Mus musculus: one gene and its partners. The protein of the gene in region 3 binds, or shares a complex with, the protein of the main gene of each other region. Links are inferred from orthologs where the notes say so. Each region holds a gene or a part of one and is shown on either strand. Other genes may lie near its edges.

The links. The genes of interacting proteins can lie anywhere in the genome.
Region 1: the proteins of Nelfe (region 3) and Ncbp2 are in contact, whole or in part, in a crystal structure (PDB 5OOB), measured with the Homo sapiens proteins. The link is inferred for Mus musculus from reciprocal best matches to the Homo sapiens genes NELFE and NCBP2. Residues at the interface, in NP_002895.3 of Homo sapiens: Lys361, Arg362, Gln364, Ile365, Val366, Tyr367, Asp369, Tyr372; in NP_031388.2 of Homo sapiens: Phe49, Tyr50, Thr51, Thr52, Glu53, Gln55, Lys68, Ile69, Ile70, Met71, Leu73, Lys77, Lys78, Thr79, Ala80, Asp107, Glu121, Gln124.
Region 2: the proteins of Nelfe (region 3) and Ncbp1 are in contact, whole or in part, in a crystal structure (PDB 5OOB), measured with the Homo sapiens proteins. The link is inferred for Mus musculus from reciprocal best matches to the Homo sapiens genes NELFE and NCBP1. Residues at the interface, in NP_002895.3 of Homo sapiens: Arg362, Ile365, Val366, Tyr367, Ser368, Asp370, Val371, Tyr372, Gly379, Phe380; in NP_002477.1 of Homo sapiens: Tyr461, Lys511, Lys557, Ser558, Ser560, His561, Ser564, Lys568, Ile609, Arg610, Gln612, Cys616, Lys647, Met648, His651, Glu705.

Annotation. Positions count from the first base shown.
Region 1 is NC_000082.6:31,947,251-31,951,345, forward strand, and holds the start of Ncbp2 (nuclear cap-binding protein subunit 2), read left to right. Parts: upstream 1-1,295; 5' UTR 1,296-1,399; coding exon 1,400-1,477; intron 1,478-4,095. Other genes in the region: 0610012G03Rik (hypothetical protein LOC106264), read right to left, coding at 911-1,198. UniProt on the Homo sapiens protein: Component of the cap-binding complex (CBC), which binds co-transcriptionally to the 5' cap of pre-mRNAs and is involved in various processes such as pre-mRNA splicing, translation regulation, nonsense-mediated mRNA decay, RNA-mediated gene silencing (RNAi) by microRNAs (miRNAs) and mRNA export.
Region 2 is NC_000070.6:46,137,283-46,141,310, forward strand, and holds the start of Ncbp1 (nuclear cap-binding protein subunit 1), read left to right. Parts: upstream 1-1,228; 5' UTR 1,229-1,570; coding exon 1,571-1,604; intron 1,605-4,028. UniProt on the Homo sapiens protein: Component of the cap-binding complex (CBC), which binds cotranscriptionally to the 5'-cap of pre-mRNAs and is involved in various processes such as pre-mRNA splicing, translation regulation, nonsense-mediated mRNA decay, RNA-mediated gene silencing (RNAi) by microRNAs (miRNAs) and mRNA export.
Region 3 is NC_000083.6:34,852,890-34,857,347, forward strand, and holds the end of Nelfe (negative elongation factor E), read left to right. Parts: intron 1-535; coding exon 536-610; intron 611-723; coding exon 724-761; intron 762-918; coding exon 919-1,244; intron 1,245-1,331; coding exon 1,332-1,476; intron 1,477-1,555; coding exon 1,556-1,610; intron 1,611-1,806; coding exon 1,807-1,909; intron 1,910-3,198; coding exon 3,199-3,269; 3' UTR 3,270-3,483; downstream 3,484-4,458. Other genes in the region: Cfb (complement factor B isoform 1 precursor), read right to left, coding at 3,538-3,693, 3,991-4,040, 4,115-4,247, 4,330-4,430. UniProt on the Homo sapiens protein: Essential component of the NELF complex, a complex that negatively regulates the elongation of transcription by RNA polymerase II.

The DNA.
Region 1 (4,095 bases), on a different chromosome or scaffold from region 3:
ACCCACAATGGGCCCTTCCCCCTTTGATCACCACCTATTGAGAAAATGTCTTACAGCTGGATCTCATGGAGGCATTTCCTCAAGGGAGGCTCATTTCTGTGTGATAACTCCAGCTGTGTCAAGTTGACACACACAACAAGCCAGTACAATTACTAATCACAGTTCAGTTAGCTGACCATAGTGAATACCCCAAACCGAACTTCAAAATGGGGAAGAAGAGAAACGTCATGTGCTATGGGATCAGCGGCCTTAATGCTTAGTGGTGAGAGATAGGGCAGTTCCTGAGCTGTAAAGTGGAGGGAGTGACCAATAGTCCCTGGGCTCTCTACACTCTGCAAGGCTTTGGGCTACTTGGAAAGTGGCCTCCATTTCTTCACAGAATGGGATTTTAAGTCACAAGCCACACAGATCTCGAAAGCAAATACCAACACAGACGCTTAACGCGTTAACTATCATTAACAAGATCTTAGAGTCCCCCGCATTCCTCCTTGTCTGAGAAATACCACATTCAGACTATTAATCAGCTTACACATTTAATGAAGGATTTTGGCAACCTCGGGGTTGTCGTTCCATTTACAAGCTCCCCTGGTATTCTCCTGCACCAGTGCAGATGCAGCAGCAGGAATTCAGCTTCAGTCCTGCTTGCAGACGGCAGGCTTGCTTTCTGATTGTCCATGACTCTCAGTCGTGCTGTTATGGTCTAGATTCTCTATCACTGGTGGGCCTCGAGGTCTTTACGTCTGCAGGACTACCGGGCACATGTCCATTTGACTTTAGGCATCTGTAGGACAATCCGAGTTAGGATTCGAAGCAGCGTAGCGTCCTGGAGATGACTCGTGACTGCTGAGGTCGGTGTAGATCACTGAAGGGACGGGTACGTGACCTCGGCCCGGGAGGGTCCAGTCCGTGCTTACGCTTTGGCGCCCGGACCCTTCTGCTGCCCTGGACGGTCCCGGACGCCACGGCGGAGTTCCTCGGTGAAAGTGTCCTTGAACCTCACGACGCGGCGACGCAGGGCACCGGGCGGCTGATCCGCGAGGGCGCGCAGGCGGCGGGCTGCATCGTGGCCGCGCAGCTGTAGCTGTAGCAGCGCGAAGGCTGTGAGCTGCGCCGCCCGCCGGATGGGCCGCGACTCGGACAGCCGCTCCACCAGCTGCGGGTTGTGCAGCAGGGCCGCCAGCAGCCGCCGGAAGACCATGGCTCTCCCCGCGCCACGGAACCCGACGCTCGCTGCCTTCGCCTTCCGGACGGCCACGCCCGACGACGGACTAGCCGGCGCTGTATGATGACGACACGGCTCGCCCCGTGGTTCTGGAGCACGCCGCCCGCATTTCCGTTTCCGCCGCCCGCCGCTTGGTTCTCCCGGCCGTGGCCGTGTCGGGTTTGGTGTTTCTGCATCATGTCGGGTGGCTTACTGAAGGCGCTGCGCAGCGACTCCTACGTGGAACTCAGCGAGTACCGGGACCAGCACTTTCGGGTGAGGCGGGCCAGGCCGGACCGGGCCACGAGATGGGGAGCCTTTGGGCTCTAAGAAACGGAGAAACGGTTTACACTTGTCTTACTATGTCTTCCCTCCTGATCTCCTGGGGCCCAAAATGCGAAGGGGTTCCGAGCGGGGCATGAATGTCACCGAAGCCACTTTATCTCCCAGGGCATCTAACACTTTATTTCACAGGTCCTTGCAGCACCCGGGGAGATGTGGCGGTGGCCCCTGTTTGATGGGCTTGTCTTGCTTGGGAAAGGGACTGTAATGAGGAGGGATCCCTGTGGCGACTGACCAGACACTAGAGCGGGTTTTGTTTTTAGTAAGCTAAACACTGCCCTTTGGTACTTCGTTCCTTTCTGCTGTAAGACAGCCCTACAAAAAGTTGGCAGTAAGTGGGAGACTTAGAGTTGGGTTCCCGTTTGTGGCTGTCTGACGGGCATCGGGACAAGTCACACGAGTCGCCTTAAGATTGTTTGGATGACAAAATCTAGTACAGCCAGTGGCTGAAGAGAAGCTCTGTCTCGAAAAACAAACAAACAGAAACAAAAAGAAATTTAGCCTAATTTTAAAATGTTTGCTGTGTGTCTGCTAAGAGTTTCACGTCTACAGTTCTCATTGCTTTGAACAGGTCCACATCAAAACTAACCAGTTTGAATTTAAAGCACACTGAAAGATTAAAACTAGGGGAGGAGTCATTCATTTGCTGTCAAAAGCCTGTAACTCGGGGCTGGAGAGATGACTCAGTGGTTAAGAGCACTGTCTGCTTTTCCAGAGGTCCCGAGTTCAGTTCCCAGCAACCACATGGTGGCTCACAACCATCTGTAATGGGACCTGATGCCCTCTTCTGGTGTGTCTGACGACAGCTACAATGTACTCATATACATAGAAAGCCCGTAATTCTCTTCAGATAGTAATAGTTTGTGTCATGTGCATTTTCTAGTGTATTCTAAATGCAGTGTGTCAGTGCATTGTTAAGTGTGAAATTAAGTTACAGTGAAGTTATCGACTCTGCGTTTTACAGAGTTGCAGTACAAACTGCACCTGATAGCCAAGTGTGGTGCTGGACATCTGTAGTCCTAGTAGAAATATCGTAAGGTTGAGATCAGCCTGCACAGGTAAAAAGCAGATGTTTCCTCTAAAGTTCTAAAACCTTGTTTTTGTTTGTTTTTAACACAGTGTCTGTTGGTCCATAGACTTCACCTGTTCAGTCCTGTAACAGTCTTAAGACAGTGTGGCAGTGGGAATAAGACCAGAGGTTTTTAAAATTTTTATTTTATTATAATGTTGTTGTTGTTTGAGACAAGGTTTTACTATATTGCCTTGGCTGACCTGGAACTCACCATGTAAAACAGGCTGGCTTTGAACTGACCAGAGGTCCACCTGCTTCTGCTGGGATTAAAGGAGTGCACTGTTGCGGCCACCAGCAGCTCGCAACATGAACGGTTCGACTGATATGGCTACTCAAGCTGTAAGAGAGGAATCTAGACGGCCGCAACAGTGCACCACCATGCTTAGCTCGATACTGAGTTTGAATTCTGGCTGAAGCTACTATATAGTGTTTCATCCTAGGAGACTCAATTGTTTTTCCTCATGTGTAAAATGGGAATGATATATCAGGGCCTACCTCATAACATTCCTTAGAATGAAATAAAACTCTCAGATCTGCAGTCCTTTGAGCTTCCCCAGGGGCAGACAGAAATACTATTTTCTTGTGTATAGCTGCATGTTCTTGGTTTTTAAAACTGTAACTTGGAGCGCTAGAGAGCTGGCTCAGAAGTTAGCACAGGCTGTTCTGCAGGACTTGGAGCCAATTCCCAGCACCCAGATGATGTCTCGAAACATCTATAACTCCAGTGCCAGGAGATTTGATACCCTATTCTGGTTTCCGAAAGCACTGGGCTGGCACATGGTGCACAGACATGCAGGGTGCGGGCAAAACACCCATACACATAAAATACTAAACTCAAACCAAAAAAACTGTAACTTGGGAGATGGGTGTGATGGCCCATGCCTGTTATCAAGGCATTTGAGGGAGATGGTAGTAAGACTATCAGGAATTTGAAAGCAGCTTGGACTATGTGGTCCTGTCTCAAAACAAAAACAAAAAACCCAAAACCCAGAACAGAACAGTTGGGCTGAGTAGACATAGCTCAGTAGGTAGAATGCTTGCCTTGCATGTGTGAAACCCTTGGGTGGATCTTGAGCTGTACATAAACCCAGAGTGGTGGCGAACGCCTGTAACCCCAGTACTTGGAAGGTAGAGGTAGGAGGATCAGAAGTTCGATGTCACCCTTGGTTAACATAGCAGGTTCAGTGCAACCAAAGCTACATGAAATCCTGTCTCAAAAATCAGAGGCTGGAGAGATGGCTCAAGTACTACTCTACCAGAGGACCCCCGTTCAGTTCCTAGCGAATTGGGTATCTTACAACCAGTTTCAAGGATCCTGATACCTCTGGCCACCAAGGGCTTACTACATTCTGGTGTGCACCGCCCCCCCCCCCCCCCACACACACACAAAGAGAAATGAACTAACTTAAAAAATAAAACCACAGAGCTGGGGATATGGTTCAGTGGTTAAGTCCACATGCTACTCTTGAAAGGACCCAAG
Region 2 (4,028 bases), on a different chromosome or scaffold from region 3:
ACTCGCCCTTTGCTATTAAGTCCGTCAGACTACAGTACCTGTGATCATTCCTGAGAGGGTCACTTAGGGCTTCAGTATCCTGAACACCGTCTCGTTGTCCCATGTACAGACGGTGACAAATGTTAATTAATACAATATAGTACTTGCTGAATGAAATAAAGCAAGAGTTGAGGAGTCAGAGAAATAACTCTGTAGGTCCCTGACAGTTAGTCATGTAAATTTCAGAGCAGAGACCAACAGATAAAGAAAATAAGTCTTGATTCCTAAAATGTGAACAAGCTGGACTTTAGCAGAAGAACATGGTGGTTTACACACAATGACGGGAACAGAACCCAAGAAGCCATAGTTTGGAATTCGCAGTGGAAATTCCTGGAAAGATGGATTGCTTGCATGTACGAATAAATAAATGAAAAGAATAGAAAAACGATAATCTTTAAAATAAACAAAGAGAAGTAGAGCCGGAAAGATGGCAAGATGGCTCACTGGTTAAGAGTGCTTACTGCTCTAGCAGAAGACCCGGGATTCAGCACCCCCACCCCGCTCCCGCGCACTCTCCTCCTTGCTCACAGAGAGTCTGAAACTCCAGTTCCAGGATGATGTACAGACTTACAAATACATAAAATATTGCTTTAAGTCTGTGAAGAGTTTTAAGCATAGTAAATAAGTTTGACTAGACTTGCTCTCAGAGTATAGCAGGCAGTGTTAGTGGATAAACTGTAACACAGGAAGTGAAGGAGCTAATGACTCCTCCCTAAATTCTTGGATTTAAGCAAACTACCGAAACGGCCATTTACTGTAACAGGTAAGACTGAAGGAAAAGTTTGGGCTAGACCATGGACAAGACAGTTTGGTGTCCATCACAGGGCAGAGGACGTCCACATACTGTACACGTGCAGAGGAATAGAACAATTGGAACCACACCGATCAGTAGCTGGGGCGTCCGTCAGCTGGGAGAAGTAGGCAGTAGGACTACAGTGAGCAGATTCAGCCGGACGGGCCTGGATTCCCTACCGCTGAAAGTGGCTTGCCCTCCTCCCCGCTCAGGTCTCCCGAGGCGTCTACAGCGGGATGGCGAGAGAGAAAGAGAGAACACCTACCCGCAAACCCTAGGCCTTTCCTGGGTCTCCCTTCACCAACTTGGCGCTGCTCCCCGCCCTCGAGCCCACGCCCCCCGGCGCGCGCGTGCGCAGAGAGTCCCTGAGCCGTCACCTTTCTCCGGAAGTCTCCTAAGTCGTCGGCGCAGGGGCCGCCGGGAAAATCCCGCCGGGCCTGTATAAAGCCGAGGCGGGATCGCTGCGGCCCGGATAATTTAGCTCGCTGTCCAGAAGGGCCCGGGGTGGAAAGCCGGAGGAGGCGGCCGCAATTGGACTTGCAGACGCCGGCCTTCCACTGCGGAGCCCATCCGGTGCCCCTCTGCACGCGCTTCCGGCAGGCGTCGTAAGCGAGTGCGCCTGCGCGCCGCTCAGTCCGCGCGCCTCGCCGCTGACCGCGCACCGGCCGGCCGGCAGCCCGACGGTTCTGGGGTTGCAGGCGGCTAGCAACTCAGATCGGCTGCGCACCAGCAAGCAGCATGTCGCGGAGGCGGCACAGCTACGAGAACGATGGTAAGTGCTCTCGGCCTGGCCACTGCGTCCGGGTGAGAACCGAGGCCGGGCTCGCCTTCAGTCTCCCGGGAACGGATAGGAATCCTTTCTCCCCGGGAGGGCTCGGGGAGCCCCAAAGGGAGGCTGCTGGCTCGGTTGTGGATAGTGGCTTCGGGAAAGCGACGGCCTCCCTGCTACCCCATCTCCTTCAGTCATGGGAAAGGAAGGCCTGGTGAATCCCGTGAGCAAATCCGACCTGGGGTCCCGCGACACTGAGGACTTAATCCCTCACTACTGATCATGGAAACCGCACGTGTGTCTGTCTGCTGCTGCCTCTTAGGATCACTTAGTGGAGGAGATATATCTAGTGGACCAGTGTTTTCCTTTTAGCCCTCCAGGGTGTACTTGGAAAGGACCCTGGGAAGACAGGAAAAGAACAAAGCTATGACAGAGGTCGGATGTATTGCAATCTGAGCCCTTCTCCTCCACCTGCCACCCGCTGATTCCCCTCTTTTAGGCTTCAAAAAAAGAATACCAACACCCCAGAGGTCACTAATAAACAGGCACGGGGTGTTTTGTTGGATTGGCTTTAAGCATATTTCCCTTATAAGAAAGTGCAGGAAAACCCGAGCAGATTATTAATTCTCATGTCAGTTTTGATGGTCGCCGGCAAGGACGTCGTTGTGTTGCCATAAATTTTGTTTTGTTGCACCATTATTGCCTTTCAAGAACACACTTGGAGCTGTTAGTGTTAGGTCCAAAGGGTTAAGGCAAGAAAAAACTTTAGAACCGAAGGGTTTAGGTTCGAAGCTCGACATCTCGATTATTTACTATGTGATCTTGTCAGGGTCATATGACTTCTTAAACCTAAGCGTGGACTGTGGATAATACTAAGCCATTTGGTTTCTACGGGGGGCTAAATGAGATATTGTGCTCACCAGTAGTTCATGATGATGTTTATTTTGTCAACTGCTAATGTCTCAGAGGTGATACACACAGATAAATGCTGACATCGTTGAGAAAAAAAGCCCTCCCTCCCCCAAGTTTAATTGGGTTAGCTTCCTCCCTTGGAATGTTAAGACAACCAAGCGAATCCCATATAGTGGAGCCCCAGGTTTCTGCCAGTAGTACCTGAGAGAATGTCCTAATACATCAGGAGTGCCGACTTGCTAAACAGTTTCCTAGCTTCTGTGCTTGCAGTGGAGTAGGAGGCAGTAGAACAGTGGAGGCTCCCTCCCCTGGGTTAAGACAAACCCCACAGCGGTATAGTGCAATTCGTTATAAGGTCACGGGGTTGTGGAGAATAATGTGAGGTAAAGGGTGTAGAGACCAAAGTGAGAGAGAAGCTGGTTAGGTAAGGCCTCCTTGCAGATGGCCTATGGCTTCAGTGATGTGAGGATGAGCCGTGTGGATGCTTGGAGGAAGCAGAGGTCCAAAGGAAACCGTGAGTTAAGGTTAGAACATTTCTGTCGTGTTAGAGAACAGACAGCAAGGAGGTCATTGTTGGTAGAAGAGAGAAAGTGAGGGTAGAAGTTGTGAGACCGGGGAGTTTAGATGAGCCTCTTACCTCACTGGGCCACTTGAACATTTCTGTTAGGACTATATGATTGGGGATTCACAGAGATACTACAAGGTTGCTAATCAATAAAGTTCCCGTAGTTTATTTAGAGTCACAGAAAGGGCTATGGTAAATGGAAAGTATCAAATCTAACTCAGTCTTAGACTCTTTTGTTTGTTTGTTTTTGAGACAGGGTCTTTATGTGGCTGTCTATGTATGTAGTCCTGGCTGTCTAGAACTATGCAATTCAGGCTGGAACGCCTGTTCCTATGTCCTGGCTAGATAGATCCCACTGACTGCCCTGCCTTACCCCAAGGGGAATACCATACTTGGCAGGCTTAGATTCCTTAACAGTATCTCTGAACTTCTTCAGTAATGTTGGATATACATTTTATCAGTGTGAAGTATATTGTCTTATTGTTAAGAAGGAATTTAGGCCCGGCGTGGTGGCGCACGCCTTTAATCCCAGCACTTGGGAGGCAGAGGCAGGCGGATTTCTGAATTTGAGGCCAGCCTGGTCTACAAAATGAGTTCCAGGACAGCCAGGACTACACAGAGAAGCCCTGTCTCGAAAACCCAAAAAAAAAAAAAAAAAAAAGAAGGAATTTAGATTGAATCTTAGTCAAAAGTCCAGATAGCCTATTCTACTTCCACTTAGGTCTTTATATTTTATTGTGGCTGATGTTTTTACACTTAACTGTATGAAAAGTTTGTTATACATAGGGACAATATACTTTGTTTCAGAAGTGATATTCTTCTACCATTTTAAATTCTAGTTTTAAGTTTGTAGAGTCAAAGTTACTTTTTTCTTTTATGGTGGTGTTTTTTGTCTACTTTGTTGATCTGAATTACAGTCTGATTCTAACAAGGGCATAGGAAACAGTACA
Region 3 (4,458 bases):
CTGTCTATCACAAAGAAACCTGAGCCCAGTGTGGTGGCACATGCCTTTAATCCCAGCACTTGTGGGGCAGAGGCAGGCAGATTTCTGAGTTTGAGGCCAGCCCGGTCTACAGAGTGAGTTCTAGGACAGCCAGGGCTATACAGAGAAACCCTGTCTCGAAAAACAAAACAAAAAAAAACAAAACAAAAAAAAAAAGCCTGGGTGATGCCCACATCTCTTTTCCATATTTGTGCTTCTTGGATTGAAGGGAGGTTTGAGTAATGAAACCAGTTACTCACATCAGCTGATGTAGTGGCACACACCTTTAATCCCAGCACTTGGAGCAGACAGGCCGAGAGCTCTAACATAAAGGACAGCCTGGTTCTACTGCGCAAGTTCAGGATAGCCAGGGCCACACAGAGAAGCACTATCTTGAAAAACCAGTCAACCGGTCCAGCACATCATCATAAGAGTGACAGGAGCAAAAGAGAAGCAGAGAAGAGAGAGGGAAGAGCTCTCCTGATCCACGCTAACATGGGTATCTGCCCTTTTCCAGGACCCAGAGAAGGGGCCTGTCCCCACTTTCCAGCCGTTCCAGAGGAGCATGTCTGCTGATGAGGACCTACAGGAGGTAATGGTTTCTGTGGGGCCAGGGTTGGGGACAAGAAGAGACCCACACACTGTGGACCAACTCCGGCACCTGGGAATCATTTGAATTGTTCTCTGTCTTTTCTTTCCCCTTAGCCATCCAGACGTCCCCAGAGGAAATCTCTGTATGAAAGGTCAGAGAGAGCACCGTTTGGTGTGGGGTCAGAGGCCAGAGTGACTGGAAAGTTCAGGGCTAGAGTGGGAGGAGCCAGCTGCAGAGGCAGTGTTGACTCCACAAGGTTTGGAAGAAGGTCGAACCCCCTTTGGTCCTTACTGTCTGCCTCTCCCCAGCTTTGTGTCTTCTAGTGATCGGCTTCGGGAACTGGGACAAGATGGAGAAGAAGCAGAGGCCCCCGGGGCTGGTGATGGCCCACCTCGAGGCTTTGACTGGAGCTATGAAGAGCATGGTAGCGCCCGCTCCTCAGCCTCCCCTCCCCGAAGCCGCAGCAGGGACCGAAGTCATGACCGGAGCCGAGATAGGGATCGGGACAAAGAGAGAGACAGAGACCGAGATCGAGATCGAGACAGAGACCGGGATAAAGACAAAGACAGAGACCGGGATCGAGACAGAGACCGGGACCGAGATCGGGAACGAGACCGAGAGGGCCCTTTCCGCAGTGAGTGATCTTAGCCAGGGTTTAGGTGGGTCCTGCTAAGTAGAAGGTGAGGTGGACCCAGTAATGACTGTGGTTCCTAACCCACAGGGTCAGACTCATTCCCCGAACGGAGGGCCCCTCGAAAGGGGAACACACTGTATGTGTATGGAGAGGACATGACGCCCACCCTCCTCCGCGGGGCCTTCTCTCCCTTTGGAAATATCATCGACCTCTCCATGGACCCACCCAGAAAGTAAGCATGAGCAACATCCCGGGGAGGGAGCTGCCTGGTCTCCATGGAGTTTCCTGACTCTGCTTTCTCTCTCACCCAGCTGTGCCTTCGTCACCTACGAGAAGATGGAGTCTGCAGATCAGGCTGTTGCTGAGGTTGGGACTTCTCAGACCGTTCCTCCCATCCCTCCTGTCATCCTCCTGCTTCTTCTTTTCAATATCTGCTTCTAGAGGAAACTTTTCTCCTGACTGAGAAAACCTTCATCCTCACATTCCTGGTTGGTCTCCCAGGGCAGCAGCACCTGGCTCCATGTAATGCCCGTCCTCTGTCCCCTCCCCTCTTGTCCCACAGCTCAATGGGACCCAGGTGGAATCTGTGCAGCTTAAAGTCAACATAGCCCGAAAACAGCCCATGCTGGACGCTGCTACTGGCAAATCTGTCTGGGGCTCCCTTGGTAAGGATGAGGCTCCTCCCTTCCCCTCTCTGCAGCATAGCACTTCCTTGAGTTCCCTAAAGTGCCCAAGGTCAGGATCTTCACGTAGGTAGTGGATGAAGAATTGCCAGGGCATCTGTCAGGTGAGGGAAGGAGAGCAGCACTGAAATGTGCCCTCTCAGTGGTGGCACACACCTTCAGCCACAACACGTGGGAGGTGGAGCCAGGTGAGTTCAAGGCCAGCCTGGTCTACAGAGCAGAGTTCAGAACAGCCAGGGCTACACAGAGAAATCTTGTCTTGAAAAGCCATTTGGGCAGGGCAGTGGTGGCACACACCTTTAATCCCAGCACTTGGGAGGCAGAGGAAGGTGGATTTCTGAGTTCAAGGCCAGCTTGGTCTACAGAGTGAGTTCCAGGACAGCCAAGACTACACAGAGAAACCCTGTCTCAGAAAACCAAAAAAAAAAAAAGAAAGAAAAGAAAAGCCATTTGGAAAAACAGAACAGGGTCCTCTGTCACAGACAGGAAAGCAGAAGCCTAGTTGTCGCCTCTGAGCTGGAGTGTTACCTGAACTTGGTATTGTGGGTCTGGACCTCAAGTAGAAGACCAGGCATGGAAACATAGATTAGTGTTCTGTGTATCTGGAACCATCAGAGGTGGGGATTTTGGAGATTGAAAAGTGACCTGAGACTGGTTTAGAGAATCAAGAGCATTAGGAAGCTAGGCTCTACTGTCTGTGCCTAGCATACCTCCAGCAGTCCTGGCTTGCTAGGCCCAAGTTAAGTCTGCAGCAAAGGAGCCATGAAGAAGAGTCCAAGCTAAGAACAACCCCAGAAGCTCTGGGCTGTGGGCTGAGAGGCTCTGAAAAGAGTATAAGACCAAAGAGGAGGCCTGTCTCTTAGCCCCACAGGGAATCCTTGGGAGGGATGAGCAGTATGAGGAAAGAAAAGCTGAACACTTGAGTTCGGAGAGGTCCTCATGGGGTCTCTCAGTGTGGACAGCCCATTCTACCCAAAACAAACTTTTCTGAGGAAGGAGTAAGCAAAGTCCTTGCACACACTAGGAAGGAACCAGAATTGACCAGTGTACCAGCAAGGTACAGAAACATTCTGATCTTTTAATTTCCATGTATTTGTGATGTTATCATAGTCACATCTCTAACTGTGTTAACATTCTGGATTTTCTAAGCCACAGTGAGGTTATGGCCACCAGAGGGCAGAGTAAGCCCTGGTGGACCAGGGCCAGGGCTCTGGACCCCAGGTCTAACGCCACTGGTGCTTCACTTAACTGTCACTTTCCTCCCTCCTTAGCTGTCCAGAACAGCCCTAAGGGTTGCCATCGAGACAAGAGGACCCAGATTGTGTACAGTGACGATCTATAGGAAACCTTGTGGATGGCTTCTAGGACATGAAGCTGGATTCCTTGTGCCTCATATGCCCCCAAGCTGGTCTCAGTAAAATCCTGGGGTAGAAGCTTTTCACCTCCGTCAGCCTCTAGTCTTTCAGCACTTGGGATTGGAGTTAAGCCTTCAAAAGCGGCTGTCAGTGTTGATGTTAACCAGTGCACGCCCTTACCCCAAAAAGATGTGGAACACACTTGTTATTGTAACTGCTTTAATCTGTCCTCACACTCTCCCTGCAGGAAGCTCTTTATAGAAAACCCAAATCCTCATCTTTGAGCTTGTCCTTTAGCCAGGGCAGCACCTGGAAGAGGTTGATGTGGAAGTCCCGGGCATAAGAGGGTACCAGCTGTTGCCGCCTCTGGTCTCTGCAGACATCTACTACTCCCCAGCTAATCACACCAACCTGTGTAGATAAGGGTATGCCATGGGTCACTTGACACACTAATAATCCCAGAAAGCTTCCAAGCTGGCCTAAAGAAGTGCACTGGGAGCCTAGCTCCCCCTGTCTTCTGTGGTGCACATAAGCCAGACACTTGGCATTCACTGACCAGTTAAGAACATAGCTGTCAGATGAGGTGGGCCCTGTTCTGCCCCCTTTTCCAGCCCCCTTTTCCAGCCCCCTTTTCCAGCCATGTACAGCAGGCTTTCTTTTTGTGACTCCTGGGCATCTCCCTAAGGGACTAGAGAGGGGACCACTCACTTGAATGAAGCGGCTTCTCTTGTGAACAATGAGAGGGCCCCCGGAATCTCCTGTAGAAGAGAGAAGCTGTAGGGGAAAGATGCTGGGCCTGTGGACTTGCAGCATAGCCAGAGAGCCACCTCACCTTTGCATGTGTTGGGGTCAGCATAGGGATCCACCCCTCCTGTGCAGAGGAACCGTGGAGTGACCACCTCAGAGGCATCTTTGACCTTCTCATAGCCTTGGGCCTTTGTAGCATCTCTCTCACAACTGGCTTTCTGTAGGCAACAAAGGTGAAAAAGCTAGCTAGCTAAGGGAGGAATGAGACCTATGTGACCCTCTCCAGAATCCTCTTCTCACCTTGTCCCCATTCTTGATGTACACCTCCTTCCGAGTCAGGCTCTTCCCTTGCTCAGATACAAACAGAGCTTTGACATCCTTCACAGGGAGCAACTGTTCCTCTGGAAAAGTAATGGGGTCATGCCAGCT